2 linked regions of the Diceros bicornis minor genome follow. The protein of the gene in region 2 purifies or fractionates together with the protein of the main gene of each other region. This does not show direct contact. Links are inferred from orthologs where the notes say so. Each region holds a gene or a part of one and is shown on either strand. Other genes may lie near its edges.

Region 1 (8,059 bases), on a different chromosome or scaffold from region 2:
TGAGTTAAGATGCATCTTGTAGTCCCTGGAGCACCACTAAGAAAATAACTTAAAAAAAGTAAAAAAAAAAAAGTCAACAGAGGAACTAAAATGGTACACTAAAAAATACTTAACACAAAAGAAGCCAATAAAGGAGGATGAGAAGAACAAAACAGAAAGGAGATAAATAGCAAAATGGAAAATGCAAATTAGCCATGTCAATAATTAAAGTGTGAATAGTATAAAGAGCCACTCAAAAGACAGAGACTGTCAGGGGATAAAAAACTAAGGTGCATACAATGGAATACACACTACACACTACATTATACTAATACACACTTCAACTTGGCTGAACTTCAAAAACATGCTGAGTCAGAGAAGTCAAATGCAAAAGACTACATGCTGAATGATTCTGTTTATATGAAAATGTCCAGGAAAAGTAAATTTATAGAGACAGAAAACAGATCAGTGGTTGCCTAGGGCAGAAGGTAGGAGTGGGGATTTAATGTAAAGGAGTATAAAAGGAACTAACTAAAGTGATGGAAATATTCTTTTTCTTGCGTGTGTGAGGAAGATCAGCCCTGAACTAACACCCATGCTAATCCTCCTCTTTTTGCTGAAGAAGACTGGCCCTGGGCTAACATCTACGCCTATCTTCCTCCACTTTATAAGGGACGCCGCCACCGCATGCCCTGACAAGTGGCGCCTCAGTGCGCGCCTGAGATCCAAACCCGGGCTGCCAGCAGCAGAGCGCGCGTACTTAACTGCTACTCCACGGGGCTGGCCCCCATGATGGAAATATTCTAAAACTGGATTGTGGCTACACAACTCTGCACTTTTACTAAAAATCACTGAATTGTACAGTTACCATGGGTGAATTTTATGGTACGTAAATTTTAACTCAATGAAAGTGCTTAGAGGAAAAAAAAAAAACCAAGATGAGGGGGCCCGCCTGGTGGCGCAAGCGGTTAAGTGCGGCGGCCCAGGGTTCACCGGTTCGGATCCCGGGCGCACACCGACGCACCGCTTGTCAGGCCATGCTGTGGTGGCGTCCCATATAAAGTGGAGGAAGATGGGCACGGATGTTAGCCCAGGGCCAGTCTTCCTCAACAAAAAGAGGAGGATTGGCAGATGTTAGCTCTGGGCTGATCTTCCTCACACACACACACAAAAAAAAACAAGATGAGTAGAACTTGGGTGTTAGAGGTATCTACCTAAACCTCATATAAACATTGGAGAAGTGAGGAGGGTAGGGAAATGAACTGGGTGGCAAGTGACACTGTACATTCATACACACATAAACAATTCACTCTTCAGAGCATAGCTGCTGTATTCCCTACTTCAAGGTCCAGAGCATGCTTTCCCTGTCCCCTAAGAACAAAAGTCACTTCCTCTTTGTGCACCCCCAACTCTTAGACATTCCTCTTCACCGCATCCACTACATTATACTGAAACTGTTTTAGTGCCTGCTTGCTGGACTAGACTACATGCCCCTCCAGGGCAAGGACAGTATCTTCCTCATCTCCATGGCTCTGATGCCCAGCCAGTCCTGGGAAGAGAGCAGGCATCAGTGAACGTTAAATTAATGAAAGGAAAATTGTGAGAGCAGGAGGGAACTTTGTACCAAACAAGTTTGAAAGTATGAGGGACACAGGGCCCCACATTAATTTAGGAGTCAGATTAGACTAGTTTTTAAACTGGAGAAGTTTACCTATACCATGGTATAGGTCTGTGTACCACCCAAAATTTAAACATATCTTCCTTGGATGTGGTTAAAGATTCAATATTATCCCAGGGCAATGAATTCACAAGCAACATATTAAACTTTTCAAGATTAGTCTGTTCAGCAAGGAAATAAACCTTAGAGAAATCTGATTTCCCTGCAGATTACCTGACAGGATTAGCACAGAAGCCCAGACAGTTTGTGTACTTCTGGGTTGGAGTTAAACAGCTAGCTCTGCTAAGGACTGTGAAGGGGGTCACACAACCAAGTCGGGCCAGCTCTTTCCATCCTCCTCTTTCGATCTCCATCTTAGCCAGGGCCAGGTCAAATGCGGACCAAGTTGGGAAGCTTCAGCCCAGAAGTGTCCCACCACCCCCGCCCCGCCCCAGGGTAGCCTTGTGTATCCTGTTCTCCACAACTTTGGGTCAAGGGTGGGATACAAAGAAGCTGGAGCCCAAGTACCCTGGCCAGTTTCTCAGGTTCCTGACCCCCATCTCAGAAAAGGGATCCAGCTAATAGAGACCAGACACCTAGAAACAGGGATGAACCAGGGCTCAGTCACCTAGGCCAGGAGGAACATGGGAGTAAGGAGAAGGCTTTCCAGAGCCTTCGGATGTGTGGGGCATAAGAGAAGGGAGGCAAGAGGCAGTAGCGGTGGGGAGGACCTGGAGACTGGGACGATGGCGAGTCCGGGAAAGTCTGGCGGGGAAGGCACTGTGGGTCTCCGAGAAGGCGTGGACAAGGATGACAGTCCTCGCGTTTAGGAAGAGCTGCTCTCCGGGGGGTGAGGAAGGCGGCCCGAGCGTGAGAAGGCCCTGGACCCACTGCGCGAGGAGGCCTGAATCTTGGGGTCCCGCGGCCCCGATTTTCAGGGGAGCTGGCCACGGTGCCCAGGCCCTGACAGGCTGCACGAGTCAGGGAGTCCCGGGGCGCGTCACGCAAAGGGGCGGGCCGGGCGCCAGGAGGTGTGACCCCGAGGCCCGGCGGCTGGCCCGCGTTCCCGCCCCGCGCCTCCCCCACTCCGGGCGAAACGGGCAGGCAGACGAGGGGGCTTCCTGCCTCTGAGGCCCCCGGACTCACCTTCCTCTCTCCCCACTGGTTGAGCCCCGGACACTGCTTCCCACAGGCGACGCGCCCTCTCACGGTCGAAGCGCAGCCCGTCCGGTTCCCGGCCCTCCCGCTCCTCCGAGCTGTTGTATAGCCGGGCCCCTCCGCTGTCCGCAGCCTCCGCAGTGCCCAACGCGGGATACTCCATCTTCCCCGCAAGCCCTAACCGGCCGATGGCCACTCTTGAGTCTGGGTCTCGCGAGATGTGAGTGGGAGAGGGACTTAGCGTGGCCAACAAATCTCGCGAGGTTTGGGCTTCTCAGACCGCGTTGCGGCGTCGGGCTGGGAGCTTGTTTTCACTCGCTGCTGTGGGGACCTCCGAGCGTGTGTTGTGGTTTTGCAAGTCAGTCGGTGGTTCCACAGCCGACCCTTCCTTTCGGGACCGGCTCGTGCGTTCTTTGGCACAGAGTTCTCACAGTCAGCCGTTGACACTTCTCATTTTGTCCTCATGAAGGCCCTGTTATGTGGGAATATTTTCTCCATTTCACTGGTAGGGAAACTGAGGCCCAGAACCTAGAAATGGTTTACTCAAGAGTTTGCTACTAGTAAGTGGTAGAGCAGAGACTCCATCTCTATGATTCTGTTACTGCTAATCATAAATAACATTTGAGTTCCAGGTGCTAATCCCCAGCCCAGACCTGCCCCTCAACTTCTCTCCAACGTAGCTACTTCTCCCCCAGCCACTGTCTCTTGCCAAGATTATTGTAGTAGAGTCCTCGCTGGTCCCTTCCCTTGCCCATCAGGTATTCTCAGCACAGCAGCCCCAGCAATCCTATTGTGACAAGCCGTATCATGCATGACGCCCCGGTGCTCAGATTCTCCCACCTTACTGTCTCACTGTTCTACAAGCCGAAGTCCTTAGTTTAGCCAACAGGGTCCTACACAATCTGACTTCCCTTAACCTCCCTGACCTCATCTCCTATTGTGTTAGCCTCCAACCCCTTCATTCCTGTCCTAGTTACCCTGACCTCCTGGAATGCATTTCCTCCATATAGTATTCTCATGGCTCGGTCTCTCATTTCCTTCTCTGGCTACCCTATCTAAAATTTTACCCCTCCACACACACTTCATGTTCTCCTTTCCTACTTTATTTTTTTTCCTCCTTAACACTTATCATTGTCAGACATATATTTTACTTTTTATCTTGCTTATTGTTTGTCTCCCCACTAGAAGGCAAGTCCCAAGAAAGCAGGGATTTTTGTCTATTTTGTTCTCAGGTGAATCCCCAGGACCTTGAAGTAGAGCCTGGACCCTCATAGGTACATACAAAATATGTAATATATAAAATGAGGCTTTTAATATAATTATTTTATTTCAATATCATTAATTCAAGTGTTTATTGAGAGTTTACTATGAGCTAGATGTCGTTTGGGCATTGGAATACAGTGATGAATAAGACCAACAGGGAAGCCCTAGTAGAGTGGAGGAGAGTGTAAGAAACAAGCCAATAGATAGTAGTAAGTACTAAGGAGAAAATAAAACAGGAATACATATTGTATGAATGATTTGCAAGGAACAGTAGGGTGGTCAGAGAAAGCCTCTGAAGAAAAGACATATGACCTAAGCCCCGATTGATGAGAAGGGGATGTCCATGCAAAGAGCTGGGGAAGAATGTTCCAGGCAGAGGAAACAGCAGGTGCAAAAACCCTGAGGCAGAAGTGAGCTTGCTGTGTTGGAGGAACAGGAAAAAGAACAGTATGGCTGAAACCCAGTAAACATGGGAGAAAATGGTATCAGAGAAGGCCAAAGAGAGATGGAGACAGAGATTTTTCTTGCCTGAGATCACAGGGCTCATCAGTGGGATTTACTAGCTTATACCACAAATATTGAGGACCAGCTCTGTGTCAGGCCTTATGCCAGGCTCTGGAGCTTCCAATGCAATAGATGACTAATGTTTATGTAGTGCTTTACAGTTTATGAAGCACCTTTAACAGACATTGTAACATTTATTTCTCAAGGTAGTTCTCCTATGAGGGATTCTTTCATATTTAACAATAAAGAAACAGACAGAGGTCCGGCCAGGTGGCAAAGTGGTAGGGTTCGTGCGCTCCACTTCGGCAGCCCGGGATTTGCAGGTTCGGATCCCGGGTGCGGACCTATGCACTGCTTATCAAGCTATGCTGTGGCAGGTGTCCCACATATAGTAGAGGAAGATGGGCACGGATGTTAGCCCAGAGCCAATCCTCCTCAGCAAAAAGAGGAGGATTGGCAACAGATGTTAGCTCAGGGGTAATCTTCCTCACCAAAAAAAAAAAAAAAAAAAAGAAACAGAGACAGGTAAAGGTATTATCAGGGTTGTATAGGTGATTAGTGACAGAGCCCATGCTTGACCACTGGTCCTCAGACTGCAAATCCATGTCTTTTTGCAAACACCAGATGACCATCCTAAAAGCCAATGACTATACCTATTTATCTCAAAGAAGATTTCTAGTTACCCATATTTGCATAGCATGAATTATTCAGCAAGAAATCCGAAGGGATAGAGGGCATTTTTGTTAAAATCCGAGAATTCACAAGGATATTTTTTAACACAATGGAGCAAATCCTGGGAGTGGAGTATGTACTTAAAATACTGTACATGTTACTGGAAAACAGTCTCTCCCCCCACTCTCAATCCAATTAGATGCTCAAAATAATTTCCATTTATTCTCCAGTGAATACAGTCATGGTTTGTCCCCTGTGCCACTGAGGCAGAGTCCTGAGCCACAGCACTGAGTGTCTGAACAGCCCTTATTGTCACTAGTTTTCTGCTTTTGTCTTCATGTAAGTGCTTCCAGTAATGGCCCAGGCCTGGACTCCTTGCTGAGACCTGACAGTACAGGTGATGCCTTGTATTTGTGGGGCTGGCTTTTTATTTCTTCCCTGTGGAAAATGAGAACCACTTCCCAACATACTCTACTGTGTATTGTTGCTATGGGAGAAGCACAATCTCAGGGAAATGACTTTGCCAAGGAGCAGGAATTGGCCACAGTTCAACAGACATTTCAGTTGAATAAACGCTGACTCCGTGTGTGTGTGTGTGCGTGCCCTCAAAAGCATGCTACAGAGCTTAGTAAAATACAGTTCCTGCTCTCAGGGAGATTAAACTCTAGAGATGAAAGTATCTACTGTATACGTAATATCAGAGAGTATGTTACCCACTATAATAGAAGTGACAACTGTTTTGATTATACCCAGGATTTAATTTATAGAGGTGACTGAGTGATAACACCGGAGTTCAATGTCATTGAAATTTTCATTATGCACAGTTCCCAAAAGAAAGGGTCACGCCACGCCATGCAGGGCCATATGGAGAAGTAACAGTGTTGGTCAGAAGGCAGAAGGAGTGAGGGGAGAGCATGGCCCAGAGCCTTTATTGTGGTTTCTGCAGGAAGTGATGGGTGAGGTAAGGTAAGCAGTTTAGGATTGGCTAGTTTGGATAATTTCAGTGGGGCTCCAGGCTATAGGGTAGTCCCCAGCTGTCTGGTACCTGGCCCTCGGGTGATGATGTAAGGCAGAGGGAATATTGGCTTGGTGTGTTAGAGTTAGATAAAGGAGGTGGTTGGGGGCTACTGGTTTTGGATTGGTTGGTTTGCATATGAAAGGTATGCTTGAAGGTAAGTTGTTTGCTATCTCTAGGAATTAGCTAACCCTGAGAGGGGCATTTCCATCCCAGTCTATAAGGCCCCAAGATGTCAAAGCATCATAAAATACAGAAAATAAAAAACATGATTAATACAACAACTAAGGCTAGTGTGGATGGGGTGGGACAACGAAGCCACAGCTGTGGGAATCGTGATGGTGTCTGGGTTACTCCATATGAGGCTTTTTACTTCTCAGCTCCACGAACACATCTCTGGCTGTTAGAAGTGGCCATATACTAGGTTTTACTAACAGGACGTGAACAAGTGATGCTCGACTCAGAACCTGAGATTGATCCAAAACAGCAGGGGTGTTCCTGAGGAAAACCGTGGAAAAGCCACACTCTGAGAGAGCACATCTTTGCTGCAATCCTTCTCAGGCTAGTTCATTTTATAGTGTCTTCAGGGCTGTAGGGAAGCAGTGTTTTCAGGGGGTGCCAGGTTTTAATTCAGCAACTTTCCCAGGACAGATGAATTTGCTGATCATAGATTGGGATGTCCAGAGGATTTTGAGAAAGAGGGGAAGGAGGAAGATTAGACTAGATTCAAGTAGAGCTTCCCAACTTTTCCTATATCACAGTCTACTTAGAAAATGACCATGTCTGGCAAATTAGAGAAAACAGATAAGGCTGCTGCTTCTCATCACGCTAGTGGCAGCCCAGGGACTGTGAGTCCAGACCTTGCTGGGCCACCCCTGGGGCCAGATGGGTGGATGTTCAGAACCATATGAGGTGTGATGGATGGCCATGATGTCTTAGATGCTAATGATGTCTGAGGCAGGCAGGATGGGGATTAACCACAATAATCTCTGAGAGATAAACAGGCCATCAGTTAAAGCTTGAGGTACTCAGCTTGACGTCAGCTGCTCCAGTCTGCACTCATTACCTATGTGACCTTAGGTAAATTATTTAACATTTGTGAGTCTACTTCTTCATCTGTAAAATGAGAAAATGATACTCACCTCAAATGGTAGTTGTGAAGATGAACTGAAATAATCTCCATACACTACTTAGCATATTGCCTGGCACATAGTAAATTGTGGTTGTTACCAGTTTATTCTGAAATCTATATTTTTCTGATAATTTAATAAATTGATGTTAGATTCTAGTCTCCATCTTAGTAGAGACTGTATCAGCTAAATCCCACTTTTCTCCATAATTTCTAGAACCAGTTTCAATTAATAATCTGTGCATTTGATTATAGATCAGAGTGATTTAGTTTAGTTTAATGTATCCAAGGAAATCTAGAATGGACTCAGATGATCCAACGAAGCTTTGTCATCTCTACCGAAGGATTGCCAAGAAACAGTATAGATCTTGAAATGGCATAGTAGTTTGAGTCACATCAAATCAACAGGCTTTATTTAGGGCCTACTACATATGTGCCTGTAGTATTTGGGCTTCCATAACAAAATACCGTTGACTGAGTGGCTTAAACAACTATTTCTCACAGTTCTGGAGGCTGGGAAGTCCAAGATCAAGGCGTCGGCAAATGTGATGTCTGGTGAAGGCCTGCTTCCTGGTTCATAGACAGCCTTCTTCTCCCTCTTTCCTCACGTGGTGAAGGAGATCTCTGGGGTCTCTTTCATAAGGGCACTGATCTCATTCTTGACGGCTGTACCCTCGGGACC
Region 2 (7,226 bases):
AGGATTGTTAGAAACTACTATGAACAATTATATGCCAACAAATTAGATAACCTAGGAGAAATGGATAAATTCCTAGAAACATACCACCTACCAAGACTGAATAATGAAGAAACAGGAAATCTGAACAGACCAATTACTAATAAAGAGATTGAATCAGTAATCAAAAACCTCCCAGCAATGAAAAGTCCATGATCAGGTGGTTTCACTGATGAATTCTACCAAACATGTAAAGAATTAATACCAATCCTTCTCAAAATCTTCCCAAAAATTGAAGAGGAGGAAACACTTCCAACCTCATTTAATGAAGCCAGCATTACCCTGATACCAAAGCCAGACAAGGGTACTACAAGAAAAGAAAATTATAGTCAATATCTCTGTTGAACATACATGCAAAAATCCTTAACAAAATATTAGCAAACCAAATTCAACAATACATTAAAAGGATCATACACCAGGGTCAAGTGGGATTCATTCCAGGGATGCAAGGATGGTAGAACATATGTGAATCAATAAATGTGATACACCACATTAACAAAATGAAGGATAAAAATCATATGATAATCTCAACAGATGCAGAAAAGGCATTTGACAAAATTCAACATCTTTCATGATAAAAACTCTAAACAAAGTACATCATTGTGTTTCTAGCACAGTGCTGCACATAGTAGGCACTCAATAAATATTTATTGAATAAATTAATGAGATTTTTTTTCCAAGAAGGTTTTTTTAGAATATCAGATCAGTTAGGATGCTTTTGATGCAGCAAACAGAAAATCAAACACAAATTGGTTTATAGTAGAAAGGAAAAGAGGTAGAGGGCTCTTATCACTGACCAGTCTAGGATGAGTCTGGCTTCAGGTGAGGCTTGATCCAGAGCTCAAGCAAGGATCTGATTCTTAATCTTCACTTCTCAACTTTATTCCCTCAGCGTAGGCTCCATTTTCAGGGCGGTTTCTCCTTGTTCAGTACTAGAAACAGAAACCACTGTAAGTATGTCAAGCAGAAAGATTTAGTAGGAAATGAACACATAATTGTTAGAAGGGATGGCAGAATGGAAATCAGGAGACTTCCAGTGTAGCTGCCATCCAAAGTTCAAGACCCTGCCACTGCCACTGCTGCCATCACTGCTGCCACCACAGATGCCCCATACCCTTGGAGAACTGAGAAGGGTAGCTGGAGTCCTGCTCCTGCAAACACCCCTGGGCCTGAGAGCTTGCCTGTCAGCCCGTTCTGTCACAGAAAGATGGCCTTCTCTTCCTTTCTGTCTTCCAAATCTTGCACCACTGCTCATCAGTCATTGGCAGAATTCAAATTATATCTCGAATTTTAACTCCCTAGAAATCTGGAAAATGTGGTTTTAACCTTCCACACATTATAACCCAGGAGATGAGGAGACACAGAAGGGAGTGAGAATGGAAACTAAATAAAAATTAACAGTATCTAATATAGTCCACCCCTTTTACCAATAATCTTTCAAGCAAATGACAAAACTATTCTCCCACCTAATGAAGCTGTTCCCTCCTTCAAATGAAAACATGCTTATCCTATCCCCTAAATCTCGATACTCATTTCTACATGATGTCCCTTCCTCTTCTATTTTAGTCACAATCCCACCTTCAAACACTCTTACCTAAAGACTATCTTATAAAATGAACCACCATCAACAAATCTCATGTAAAAGGAAAGGGAAAAACAATCAAAAGAAGTTCATTAATACATATAAAAACAAAGCAGGAAGAAAAAATGTGTAGGTTCTATGGTCCTTTATTCTTCAACTGGTCATGAGACCATAGTCAGTTATAACTTCCTTATTTATTGTTCCCTTTGCCCTCACACACCTGCCCAGCTGGTAGAGTGACACAAACCTTCAATCCTGAAGCATCTGAGCCCTTAACAGTCTGGCCTGTGTTGGACAGCTGTAGATTTCCACTAACATTTATCATTGAACATGGAATTACTAAAAAGAACCTCAGAGAAACCCCTGGTTTGAAGACATACTCGTCCCTGACAGCACTGTGGCTGCATCACTATTTTCTCTTGGTAATTCGTATCAGTCAGCCCAGCCAGTTTGGTAACCCCCTTATTTTCCTTTTTTTTTTTTAATTATTTATTTATTTATTTATTTCCCCCCCCTCAAAGCCCCAGTAGCTAGTTGTATGTCATAGTTGCACATCCTTCTAGTTGCTGCATGTGGGACACGGCCTCAGCATGGCCGGAGAAGCAGTGTGTCGGTGCGCGCCCGGGATCCGAACCTGGGCCGCCAGCAGCGGAGCACGTGCACTTAACCACTAAGCCACAGGGCTGGCCCAACCCCCTTATTTTCTTGATGGCTTGATGGCATGATGAACCTGCAACATCCAGAAGCAGTTTCACCCACATCATTTTCCCCAGACCTCCGTGTCACCAACCCTCTGATCTTGTTCCTTCCAAATCTCTGAATATCCAGCTAAATTGCTAGCCACTGGTTCTGTCCAAGCCACTGGCTTTCTCTCCTTCCAAGTGACAACTAAATGTACTGCTCAAAGTTTTGCCCACTGGGAGGATTGCCTTTCTCCCACTATCTTTTAGGGCCACCTCCCAGAGGGGCTATAGTAATACATCAATCCACTTCTGATTAATGCCAGTGTATTGTGCTTCATTCAGATTTTTCTTTCTCAATCATCTGGCCACAGGCAACTCCACATGAGTTCACAGATGCGGGCTGATAGAGCAGGAGGGAGTGCCATGGGGATCTTAGATATTGCCATAATCACCACTGAAATCAGGGAGCTTTTTTCAATGGCAGCATCTCCCATAGACATTCCCCACCTACAGTGGCTGCCCAAGGACGCTGATGTTCCCCACTCCAATGTATTTCTCAACGAGTGGTGCAGGAGGGTCCTCTGGATCTTCTTGGGGGACATAGATAGGGAGTGAATGAATAGGTTACACACGATTAAAGATGGCTCTGCCTCCTGCCTGCCTTCCAAACCTCCCACCAGTGCTTCACATTTTGGGAGCTTAAATCATGCCCCAGGACCTGAGTGCTTCAAGGGAAATATAGTTTTTAGCCATTGATACTCTGCAATAGCAGAGAATATAGCAGAGAAGTAGGAAAGGATGCCCAGAGCTAGTGCCCAACAGTTAATGTATAGTTGAGGTCCATCCCGGGACCACCTCTCTCCCTCACCTCAGCTAAGATGTTGAGGGTGCTGACTCCTGGTTCTAAATCTAGCTCTGCCGCTTACTAGCTGTGTTAGTTAACTTCTCTGAGCCTCAGGCCTCAATTTTCTCATCTGTTAAATGGGCATAGTAACAGCACCTACCTTGCAGTATTGTTGTGAGCTAAGTCCTCAGACTCCTCAATCGCTGTGTCAGTGAGCCAGTATTACTGTGGGAGTGTGTCATAGTCCATTAGGTGAGTAGGATTTCTTAAAAACCGAGGACTACTGGTAAAGTCTTTGGTCGTAAACTCCATGAGGTGCCGCAGGGAGCAGGTGGCTTGCGTAACTGCTGGCCTGGGCGGTACTTGGTACAGCGGCTGGCAAGTAACTGGATGGATGGGTGGATACAGATTGAAGAAAGATTATGCCCTCTGGCCTCTTCATCCCCAGCCTTGTCAATGTGACGACAGGGAGGGGTGCTTTGATGTGCAGGGCCCTTCAATGGAATCCTGGCTTTGCCACTTTCCAGAGTCAGGACCCTGGGTGAGATAATTGACTCAGTTTCTGCTACTGTAAAATGGAGCCGATCATATCCACATCCCCAATCCCACCTCAAAGGTTTGCGTTGAAGAGGAAAGGGGATCGTTGATCCCAGAGCCCAGTTCAGCGAGCGAGCGCCTGGGGTGTCCTCCTCACCCTTGCCGGCACAGGGGCCAGTTACAACCCCAGACGCCGGGGTGGGGGCCGCCGGGTCCCGGGCACGTGGGCGCCGAGCCCGCCCCGCGGCCCGGGGCCAGTGCGGGCCTGTGCGGGAGGGGCGGGCGGCCGCAGCGGGAGGCGGAGTCCGCCGGGAAAACGAAACCGAGAGCGAGCGGCGCCGCTCCGGCCGGGCTTCCGCGGACAGCAGCGGCGCGGGTGAGCGGGCGGCAGCGGCGCGGGTGAGCGGGCGGCAGCGGCTGAGCGGGCGGCAGCGGCGCGGGTGAGCGGGCAGCGCCGGGGGCCGAGCGCGCGCCGTCCGCATCCCCAGACGCGTCCTGCGCGCCGGTGAGAGGCCCCCGACCCCCACCCGCAGCGCGCTCCGAGGCCCGCAGCCGAGGTGCAGGGCCCGTCCCGGATCTGGGCACCGGATCGTGCGGGGCAGTGGGAACCGAGAGCCGTTATCGTCCCGCGAAGCATTTTTATCCGAGTAAGTGACGAATAGCCCAGGCCCGGGTTGGGGGCGGGGGGGCTGGTGGAAAACAGATACGCCCTCTAACTTGACAGACAGATGGAAAATATGGAGGCCTGAATTACCCCCAAATTGCCTAAATAATCCCTAGCCAAAAATCTCTGGCCTGAACAGTAGCACTTGTCTCGCCATTCCCGGCCTTAGCCCCCGCCCGTTTCTGTAACCCGGCCCCCCAACACCGCAGCGGCCGGAGCGTTCCTGTAAAGCAGAACAGGACACTCCCCGGCTCACACCTCCCCAATAGCTTGCCATCTCGTCAGAATCCTATAAACGGTTATCGGCCCACAGGCAAGGCTCCTTGCTCCCTCCACTCTGACCACACAGGCCTCATTGCTGTTCTTGGGGTACAGCCAAGCACACTCCTGCCGCTGCGCCTTCGCACTGTCTGTTTCTTCTTCCCGGAAAGCTCTTCCCCCGGATGCCTGCAGGAGCCAGTCCCCCGCTCTAACCTGCGCTTCTTCCAGTGTCGCTTTATCAGAGCAGCCTTCCCTGAACCACCTGCATATAAAAGAAACCCCACCCTTCCCTCGCTGTCCCCGTTGCTCTGCTTTGGTTTTCAGCATGGTACTTAGCACCCTGTAGCATTTTTTATAGGCTTGTCCGTGTTCCTCCACTCGTAAATTCACAAGAGCAGGGTTTTGTTCGCTGGTATAATCCCGGCACCTAGTACATCACAGATGCTCATTAAATATTTATTTAATGAATGGCAATTCATAAATTGTCTTTTGAATTCTGGATTAGTGAGACTTCCTATTGCCTGTGATTTCTTTAGTATAAAGATACCTTGCCAGGTGGAAGCTAAAGGTGCACTCCCTGCTGTCACTCAGGAACCTAGAATCTTGGGCAGGTTATACTCTTGTTCTTCAGTTTGCTTATTTGAACCTGAAGATCCATAACACTCGACCTGTAGTTTATTCATCTCACTAATCAGGTACCGGTGGAATGTGTGTTGTATGCCAAGCATTGTGTAGGCCCTGGAGGGGCTGAGCCCCAGGGGGCTGCAGTCTGGCAGAAGGGATCAAGACTCCCAGCCAAAGTGGCTTCTGGGCATGAGTAAGATGGACATATAACACTTGTTTGTGATTATGGTGATTTCTTTTAGGAACATGGTAACACAGAATTAAAACAAGATTTATTTAAAATAGTTGAAAAGAAACCTACTGTTTCTTTTCTTCCAAACTTGTAAGTACTTTTTCAAACATACCAATTCAGCACCTTATTAGTTTACACATATATTTCACTTAGAGTCAGACTGGCTTGTCATTCTGATGATCAGCAGTTACTTAGAGTTAAAAGTGCTGAGGATTTAGAGCATTCGATAGGTCTTCAGGTTAAATAATTGCTAAGGACTCTTCCATAACTGCTGTTCTGAGATCTGTGACCCCCTCCAATTTGGTGTATGGTCTCATTGTTGTGACTAAACTGAATGACACTTTGGTTCCTGAAAATAATGGTGGTCTACGGAGCCTTATCTGAAACTCTTGGGTCAGGTATGTTCCTGTATTGAGAGATTTTTGGATTTTAGAAAGGCAGGGCAGCATAAATCCTATCTATTATATGATATTCTCAGCAGGATTTGGGGGCAACACTCTATAATAAAACACATTTCTGCAGGGAAGTGTATAGATAGACAACAAAGTATCATAAAGACTCTAAATAGCTCCTGTCAGTTCAGGTCTAGACAGGGGACTACAAACCCACTATAAACAAAATAAACCTCAGTTTATAGTGCTTTTTGGATTTCGAAATTATAGACCAGGAGCACCATTTATTGAAGCCAATGGTGTGGGGGACTCTGCTGGATGCTTTTCATCTGATTTACTCCTTGCAACAACCTGTGAATCACGTTTTCAGGTCACTAATCAAAGGTCCAGAGAGGATTTAGCCCAGGTCTGTGTGGCTCTAAAGCCTGACTCAGTCCACCACACTAGGCAGGAATGTGAAGGCGTTGCCTTTGCTCGGACTCCTGGCACTTCCAGACCCTGCTTCCAGCCACCACTGTTGCTCACCCAACCTCTGCAGCAGCCTCTACATGGTCTCCCTCCTTCTACTCATGCTCTGCTCCCCTTTCCACACCCAGCCCCGCATACTCTGTTCTTTACAAACATCAGTCATCGTTTAAAACATAAACCCAGTCACATCAGCCCTCTGTTTAGATCCCTCCAATAGCTTCCTATTGCAATTGGAGTAACATCCACAGTCCTGACCGTGACCTACAAGGTCTCTGTGCCGTGGCACCTGCCTGCCTTTCTGATTCATGTCCTACCCTTTCCTCCTCGTTACCTGTGCAGCACATCCCCTTGGCCTTTTTGTTATCCTTCCAAATGCTATGCCGGTTCCTGCCTCAGTGTTTCCTCTGCCTAAGATACTCTCCCCCAGATCTTGGTATGATGGACTCGCTCATCATTCAGGCTTGATTTCAGTGTTGCCTCCTAAGAAGGGTTTCCCCTGACCACTGTATCTAAAACCACTTCCCTCATATCTCTGCGCCCACCTACCAATGCACCCTCTATCCTGCACCCCTATTTAATTTCATCCTTCTGGTCATCCTCTCATCCTCTCCTTTGTTTGTTACTGGACGTGGTCATTTTCTTTCTTCCCTCGTTGGAATGCAGGTAGGGACTTGTTCACGTCTGTATACTCAATGTCAGAACAGTGCCTGACATTCGATGAGCATTTATTGAATGAGTGATGAAAGGATGCAAAGAAAACAGCAGATGAAGAAAAGGGAGAAGGTGAGGAGGTTTAAAGTGGAATATTTAATTTTAATGAATCATTTTCTCATTAACCTATGCACTATCTAAGTGTTCAGCGTTTACCACTTGCCACAGGGCGTTGGTAATACAAAGATGAGT

The links.
Region 1: the proteins of EIF2AK2 (region 2) and ZNF346 purify together in Homo sapiens (affinity purification with mass spectrometry; 3 studies listed by BioGRID and IntAct, with this or other methods). This does not show direct contact. The link is inferred for Diceros bicornis minor from reciprocal best matches to the Homo sapiens genes EIF2AK2 and ZNF346.

Annotation. Positions count from the first base shown.
Region 1 is NC_080740.1:90,263,519-90,271,577, reverse strand, and holds the start of ZNF346 (zinc finger protein 346), read right to left. Parts: upstream 3,008-8,059; 5' UTR 2,958-3,007; coding exon 2,783-2,957; intron 1-2,782.
Region 2 is NC_080751.1:46,995,256-47,002,481, forward strand, and holds the start of EIF2AK2 (interferon-induced, double-stranded RNA-activated protein kinase), read left to right. Parts: upstream 1-4,133; 5' UTR 4,134-4,329; intron 4,330-7,226.